Nothobranchius furzeri: one gene and its partner. The protein of the gene in region 2 purifies or fractionates together with the protein of the main gene of each other region. This does not show direct contact. Links are inferred from orthologs where the notes say so. Each region holds a gene or a part of one and is shown on either strand. Other genes may lie near its edges.

Evidence for each region. The genes of interacting proteins can lie anywhere in the genome.
Region 1: the proteins of ess2 (region 2) and fra10ac1 purify together in Homo sapiens (co-immunoprecipitation; 3 studies listed by BioGRID and IntAct, counting the BioPlex papers as one, with this or other methods). This does not show direct contact. The link is inferred for Nothobranchius furzeri from reciprocal best matches to the Homo sapiens genes ESS2 and FRA10AC1.

The regions. Positions count from the first base shown.
Region 1 is NC_091756.1:37,044,591-37,048,278, forward strand, and holds part of fra10ac1 (protein FRA10AC1), read left to right. Parts: intron 1-424; coding exon 425-470; intron 471-584; coding exon 585-661; intron 662-865; coding exon 866-949; intron 950-1,094; coding exon 1,095-1,179; intron 1,180-3,377; coding exon 3,378-3,423; intron 3,424-3,688. UniProt on the Homo sapiens protein: May be involved in pre-mRNA splicing.
Region 2 is NC_091746.1:52,059,064-52,063,439, reverse strand, and holds the start of ess2 (splicing factor ESS-2 homolog), read left to right. Parts: upstream 1-1,548; 5' UTR 1,549-1,772; coding exon 1,773-1,916; intron 1,917-2,145; coding exon 2,146-2,314; intron 2,315-2,986; coding exon 2,987-3,070; intron 3,071-3,180; coding exon 3,181-3,350; intron 3,351-4,376. UniProt on the Homo sapiens protein: May be involved in pre-mRNA splicing.

The DNA of each region.
Region 1 (3,688 bases), on a different chromosome or scaffold from region 2:
TCTCTTTTATGTGTGTGTGTGCGCGCGCGTGCGTGAGTTTGCATCTGCTTGGGATGGGATTGAGGGTGGGAGGAGGGAGATACAAAGGGGGATCTCTTATGTGAATCTGTGTGGGAGGGGTGGGAAACCGACTGCTGCCTGTTTGTTTTGAACGCTGTAAAGCGCTTTGAGCTGCATTTGTATGAAAAGCGCTTAATAAATAAATTTGATTTGATAATAAAAAGTTTACTGACAGGAGAAATCTGAAATGATTCAGTTAGATGTTGTTTTTGCTTGTTGTTTGTGTCCACAGAATGAATGAAACTTTAGAAATGATGAAACCCTGACCCTCTCACAGCTACACTTCAACAGCTATGCATTCGCCTGAATACACTGTTGCATTTTTTAAAAGGGATGCTGTCCTCCCTTCCTTATTGTTTTTCAGAGAAGAAGCTAGAAACAGAAGAGCCCACCTAATATCAATGAATGCCGTATCCTTTCTTTAAAACTTTGCCTTCACTTGTATATTACCCATCTTTTTATTATTGATAGTAACACAATCAAAAATCTTATTTTTTTAATAGTTTCTTGACAATAAACTCCAGTTTGAGCGACATAAGAAGTTTGTTGGTGACTACATTTTGTATTACGGAGGACAGATGGCCGACTTCAGACGCTCTGCGTAAGTGATCTGCCTCACAGCTTGAAAATCCATCGTCTGCCGTCTCTGAGGGCCAAATTAATAACAATTTGTTTTCTGTGTGACAACATTTGGATGCATTGTTTTGGTTTTGTTAAACACTTAATTACAACCAATCCATCACTAATTTATTAATTTATCTGTACGCCGAATCTTTTTCATTTGGCTCTTTAATATTTGCTTCAGAGCGAAAGACAAAACGGATCTGGACGTGCTGCGTGAAAACCACCGCTTCCTTTGGAGGGACGAGGACGAGGAGGAGATGACATGGTGATCACATGAAATCAGCTGCTCATTAAGGAGACTTTGATATCAATTTGATTTCAGATTGATCAGTTCTCTTATGAAAAATTGCATTTAGCTTGTGCTCAGTTAAATTAACTGGTTTTTGTGCTGTTTTCAATCTCACTTGAAGGGAAAAAGAACTTGCCAAGAAGTATTACGACAAGCTGTTTAAAGAGTACTGCATAGCTGACCTCAGCAGATACAAGGAAAACAAGGTGAGCTGGTGAATGAAGCAGAGCTCATATAAGGAATAGTTGATCCATAATACAGCAGAACATGCACATGGGTCAGATGCTTGTGTATAAAAACACAGACAAGAGTTAAAACAACTGCATGGTGGTGCTGTTGTTTGCGTTGTTGCCTTGCAGCAAGAAGGTTGCAGGTTTGAACCCCGGCTGTGGTCTTTCTGCATGGAGTTGCATGTTCTCCCACGCATGTATGGGTTTCTTCCGGGTACTCCGGTTTCCCCCACAGATCACAACATGCCCTATAGGTTAAAAAGTATGTCGCTTTGGATAAAAGCGTCTGCCAAATAAATAAACAATAATAAAAAATTTAAAAAATCTCTACACTGCCAGGGAAATGCAGAATGATAATGGAAACTGTGTAAAAAGATTATTCAGTGATGTGGAATAATCAAAAAACCTTCAGTTATTCTAAACAGTCTTTAAAACTTTACTGTGACATCAGTCAGTCAGTAAATTAAAGGCAAGGCAGCTTTATTTTTATGGCTCATTTCATACACAGAGGCAATTAAATATGTTTTCCAATGAGCAAGAATAGCAAGAAGATTAAAAATTAACATGACGGAAAGTACACACAAAAAAAGTTTTGATTTCAAAATTAAAAGAAACGAACAAAGTTAAAAGATGAGCAGCCATTCAAAGGCTAATGAATATGTAAAAGGTTTCAATTTTGATTTAAAAGTTTCTAGAGTTGGGGCACATTTGAGGTCATGAGGAAGCCGATTCCATCTGTGTGCAGCATATTAGCTAAAAGCAGCTTCACTCTGTTTGGTTCTGACCCGAGGTTCTACCAGCTGACCGCTTCCTAAGGATCTCAGAGCCCTGCTGGGCGTATATACCTGAAGGAGATCCGGCATGTATTCTGGCCCCATGCCACTGAGTTATTTATAAACTAGCAGAAGCACTTTTAAGTCGATTCTATAGTTTACTGGTAACCAGTGTAGAGATTTAAGAAGAGGAATGACGTGCTTGGTTCTCTTGGTTCTTGTTAAGACTCTAGCAGCAGCCTTGTGAATAAGCTGCAGTTTCTTCACAGCTTTTTTGGAAATACCAGACGAAAAGACCATTGCAAAAGTCCAGCCTGCTGTAAATGAACACATGAATGAGTTTCTCTAGGTCTTGTCTGGACATGAGACCCCTGAGTCGTGCTATTTGATAGATGTTAAAACGCTGATCTAGTTATAGCCTTATTGTGACCCGTGAAGCTTAAGTCTGAATCAATTATGACACCAAGATTCTAACCTAGGTCTTTGTCTTTATTCCTCTGGAGCTAAGTTGAGCAATAACCTTCATTCTATTCTTATTTCCAAAGACAATAACTTTAGTCTTGTCTTTGTTTAACTGGAGGAAGTTTGATTGCATCCAGTCATTAACTTGCTCTAAACACTGGTAAAGTGAGTCTAGAGAACCACAGTCACTAGGTGATAGAGCAGGTGAGAGCTTCACGTTTCAACTTTTTAACGCATTTAGTGACCAAACAAGAAAACAAAAATAATTAACAGAAAATTCGGTCCGTTACAACATTTATTTTTCAACACATCTTCTCAGATTAATGCTCTGTGCCATTAGTTAACCCTTTGCGTGCCAACTGTGGCACGAGTGCCCGGGGTTGCCGACCCCTGTGATAGAGCAATGTAGATCTGGGTGTCATCTGCATAACCATGATGGGTAAAATTGTTATTGTTTATGACCTGACCCAGGGGGAGCATGTAGAGATTGAAAAGCAGTGGTCCAAGAATTGAGCCTTGGAGGATCCCACATGTCATGGTGATCTGCTTTGATTTGTGATTACCAATAGAAACAACATAACCCCTGTCTTTGAGACATGATCGGAACCAACTTTGGACTGTGCCTGATAGTCCCAACCTTCATCTATAAAGCCCATTTCATACACTTTAATGCAACAATGTGCAGCGAGTAAAATAAAACGCACACAAATAATGAATAACTGCAGAACAAAGGGAGATTCAAAGGAGCATCAATAGGTATTGACAGGAATAACTAATATGAAGGAACCAAAAGAACTGAGTGAGCACCAGAGATAGTAATAGTAAAAATGACTTAATGAAAACATTTTAAACCAAATATCAAAACTAAAGTAATTCTCAGAATTATATACAAATGGAGAACAACTGAAATTTAACTCTGTTTTAATCTGTCTCCATCAGTTTGGATTTCGTTGGCGGACTGAGAACGAAGTTGTCTCTGGGAAAGGTACAACTTGCTCTTATTTTCTGTAGATTCTTTGTTTGAATTATTTTCTTGAATGTGTGCTAAAACTGTGATATTTTCATTTCTATGTCATCTTTATTAAATATATCCCAGACAATTTTAGGTTTATAAATGAGCTTTTAGAGATTTTTTAGACTTTTCCAAAAAATACTCTGAGCTTCCACGCAAAGTTGCAAAGTTATGCTCTGTTATGCTGATTGATATATATACTGTATATGTACTGTGTATATATATATATATATATATA
Region 2 (4,376 bases):
AGATTATTTTTAAGTGAAAAAGTTAAATATTAAAGCAATACTTGTACATAGGATAAAGGCTTAAAGTCATGTTTAAAATATAAAATTTATAAAATTAAGTTTTAAGAGGAAATTCTGAAATAGGCTATAGCTATTCGTATGTTTATTTTGAAAATTCTAAGTAATTTTACTGGAACGTTGGAACAATGAAAACACATTAAAACCAAATCAATCCTGCATGCAAAAAAAAAAATAAAAATAAAAATAAAAACCTAATTATTATAAATATGTTTTTTTAATTAAAGAAAATCATCTTTTATTTAGCATCTCTCAAGATAAAAACTCACGAGGTGCTTCACAACAACAGAAAATTCAAAATACAAAAAAAACTTAAAAAATTATTTAAAAACATGGTTAAAATTAGAAGAAAAACATAAAAAACAGATTTGTGATTTAAATGTGCAAGGAAAGGGAAAAAGAAAATGAATAGGAAAGAGGGAAATCAGTGGATCCCGGATAAGGCGTAATTGGTTTAGAGCAGAACAAGGAGAAGGTGATGATGAAGGTCACACCAAAACCAGCTTGAACAGGTGAGTTTTCAGCTGCTTTTTAAAGGAGACCACTGAGTCCACTGATCTCAGGCTCAGAGAGAGAGTCTGGGGGCCACAGCAGCAAATGATCTGTCACCTTTGGTCTTAATTAAAGTATCAATACCTGATGACTCCTGGAGCATCATTAATATTTACCTCATTAAAACATTGTCTTTTAACATTTGATGAGTGTCATTTTTGTTTGAGCCACTTGATTTTTTTATTTATTTGCTTGATAAAAATCCTTATGAAATGTGATAAGAGCAAGATGATCATTAAAACAAACGGATTGAAAAGCTTTTTATTGTTTCTTTATTAATAAACTCACCAGTGCGTTAAATCAAAAATCCATCATGTAAATTCATTCTAAAACATTTTACTACGTTTTAATTAACTTGGGCAATAATAATAATACATTCTGATAAGTTGGGATGCTGAGTTGCTGATAAATTTGAACAGTTTAAACTGTTTTAATGTTTTTCATTTGTTATTCATTCTGTCAGTTTGTTTGTTTGTTTTTGGTCAAATATCTTCATTATCAGAAAAGCTTATCATCATAAATATTCACACATAATTATATGAATACTGTCTGAGTATGTTTGCATCAAACTGGAGAAGTGGAGCAGGTATGTGAGAGAAATGTTGAATAAAAGAATAAAAAAAATTTGAAAGAGTAAGTAAAATGAACACAACGGTTTGGTTTAAGGATTCAGAACATAACTTTATGTAGACTTTTAAAAATCAGTTTTTGTTTTCGGATGCTGAAAAAGACCCGAGGAAAGATTGTCATTCTAAGTGAAAAGACTACGATGGGATCATGCATCTCTTAATGTAAAATTCCAGGTTTTTGTCTTGTAGATTTGTGATATAACTGATAGTATCATTTATATTCAGAATATTTTCATAAGCCTTTTATACTGGAAATTAGTTTAGAACAATAACTTCCGGTGACGTACTCGCTTAAATTGCGTAAGAAGAACGTTTTGTGTTGTGCGTTGGTGTTGTGGCTAAAAGTCAGCCTCTAAACCATATATATATATAGCGCCATTCCCACCGTGTGAAATTATTTAAAACCTCGGTTACGTTTTTAACGGTATTTATTAAGTGAAAAATCGTTCTCAGTTTTTTTTCTGAGATTATTTTCTCGTTATTCTCGTGACTCGTCTCTAGCCTGAAGGCTAACGCTAACTCTCAGGCTCCACAATGGAGGGTAGCAGTAGCGTGAGGAGAGCACTGTCCGGGACTCTCGTACCTCCAGCCGTCACGACAGTCGCTGTCAGTCATCCCGAGAACAAGGAGAAGGACACGTTGAAGAGAAAAATTCTCGATGAAGAGGAATACATTCAGGTAAGGGACTTGAAACAATATGAGTTTAGGCTCCAGTTAAAAACGGCCCATTTGCTAATAAGGCTAACCAAAATTATTTCGACTGTTGCTTGTTTTATTTTGTTATGGTAAATGATATTATGAAGGTTTAATCATAGTTGTTAGTACAGTGACAGTTTGGTGGATAATTATATTGGTAATAAAACGCTTCCTTCTGCTGTTAATTTATTCATGTTTGGTCTCTTGACAGAGCTTGGAGAAAATAATCCAGAGGGACTTCTTTCCAGATGTCACTAAACTACAAGCGCAGAAGGACTACCTGGAAGCAGAGGAAAATGGAGATCTTGAGAGAATGAGAGACATATCAATCAGATATGGATCATCCTTGACCAAGTCTACCCCACGAACGTCCGTACCTTGTGAGTAGAAACAAAATAATAACTGTTGGGATTCAACACACCTCGTTTATGTTTATTTAGCAGATGCTTTTGTCCAAAGCGACTTACAGGTGGTAATCAAGCCAGCAGGTTGCCCTCGAGGCTAACAACAAACACTATTCAGTCAATCTTGGCAGACAGGCAGCATAACCAATCAAAGAGGGAAGCGAACATGGAGTGTGCAGTAGAGTGGGGGACGGGTGCTGGGAGGGTGCTAGATTAGAAGATGCTCTCTTGAAGAACTGGGTCTTCAGGATTTTCTTGAAAATCGACAAGGAAGCCCCTGTTCTAGTAGTGCTTGGTAGGTAATTCCACATCTGTTGAACAATACATGAAAAGAGAGCATGGTGTAGGTACTGCTAGCCGACGATCCTTCGATGACCGGAGTGGCCGGGCCGTGACATAAGCCTTTGCAAGAGGATTCAGGTAGATGGGAGCTGTACCATCCAGGACTTTGTATGCTAGTGCTAGCGATTTGAATTTTATGCATGCAGCTAGAGGTAGCTAATGGAGATCAATGAATAGAGGGGTGACATGCTCTTTTAGGCTAACTGAAGACCAGATGCGCAGAAAACTGCTTCTTCGTTTTCTCTGCTCACTCTAAAGTAAATATTGATTGTATTGTTGCTGTGTTTTTACTTTTTTATGTGCAAGATGTGACTCCTGCCAGCTTTGAGACACCAGTGGGTCACCCAGGATCTCCCTCTACAACTTACAGTAGTAAAGGTTTAGATGCTGGTAAGTTATAGTAAAAAAAAAGTTTTTACTCTCTTTTTTGTTATAAGAATAGACATGTACACATTGAACTGCAATTAATCGTATTTTAAAAACAAATTATTTATTCATAGAAAAAAAGAACAATGACCAGGAAGAGAAAACCCTGCCCAGTTTAGACCGTTTTCTTGCTAAAAATACCAGTGAGGACAACGCATCCTTTGAGCAGATAATGGATCTGGCAGAAGACAAGGAGAAGCTGAAGCATGCCTGGTTATATGAAGCAGAAGAGGAATTTAAACAGGTTTGTCCTAAGAAGCTTATATTTAGTAAAAATGTCTTGATCACAAAATATCTCAAACTATGACTTTGATGGACCTGTTGATGGTTGCCATGGTAATTTTCTTCTCAAATTAACATTTGAATATCTCATAAAATAATATGTAACTAAAACACATGAAAAATATCAGAGAAATATGTTAAAATAAAGCAAAGCTGTTAAACTGAATTAATTTAAATTCCCTTCTGCACATTAAATTACCTTACATACCTCCTCCCATCAAGTAACGCTGCCACTGTAACAAACAGGGTTTAGCTAATTAACATGAACCCTCTAGGGTCATTGGAGGAGTCTGATTTGAGTAAAAGGGTTAGGGTTAGATCTTAGCGGTTGTTTGATTGAACATCGTTTCTCCAGTTTTACCCTGACCCACGTTGGGTCTCAAAACACTAAATTAAACTCAAATAAAACTTTCAAACAATGATCAAATAAGATATTTCCAAGCTATTTTTGTAAAATATGAATCATAAGCATATAAAAGTGGTATGAGTTGAAGTTGTTTGTGTTCCAATTATGTTCTTGAATATTTGGCCTTTTAATTGTTTTTGTCTTGTTCAGCCATCAACATTTGGGGTCACAAGTTATTATTTTGGGGGTCAGAAGGTTGAAAATCTAATAATTTTACACATAAATCATCTCACTGCTAGATTCAACCGAAGTATTTTGTTGTGTACTATTTTATGACACATCCTGTTACTTTACTAGATGTCCTACAGCAGGATGGAAAGGACCTTGGATCTTTGATTCTTGTTTCCAGTAAATATTAGTGAGAAAAACACAGCTGCTGTCTGGGTTGTTTTGTTGGTTGGGTGTGTTGTGTTGTGTTTATTAGCTAACAAATGACATTAGCTAAAATGATAATCTAGTTGTCATTTAACTTTTGATTAGGTAATAAACAAACCAAGTTTTAGATGATGTGGAGCTTTTGGGTGGTTGTAATTTGGACAAAACCTTGCAATTAGTGATGCACCGATATGCAGTTTTTGGGCC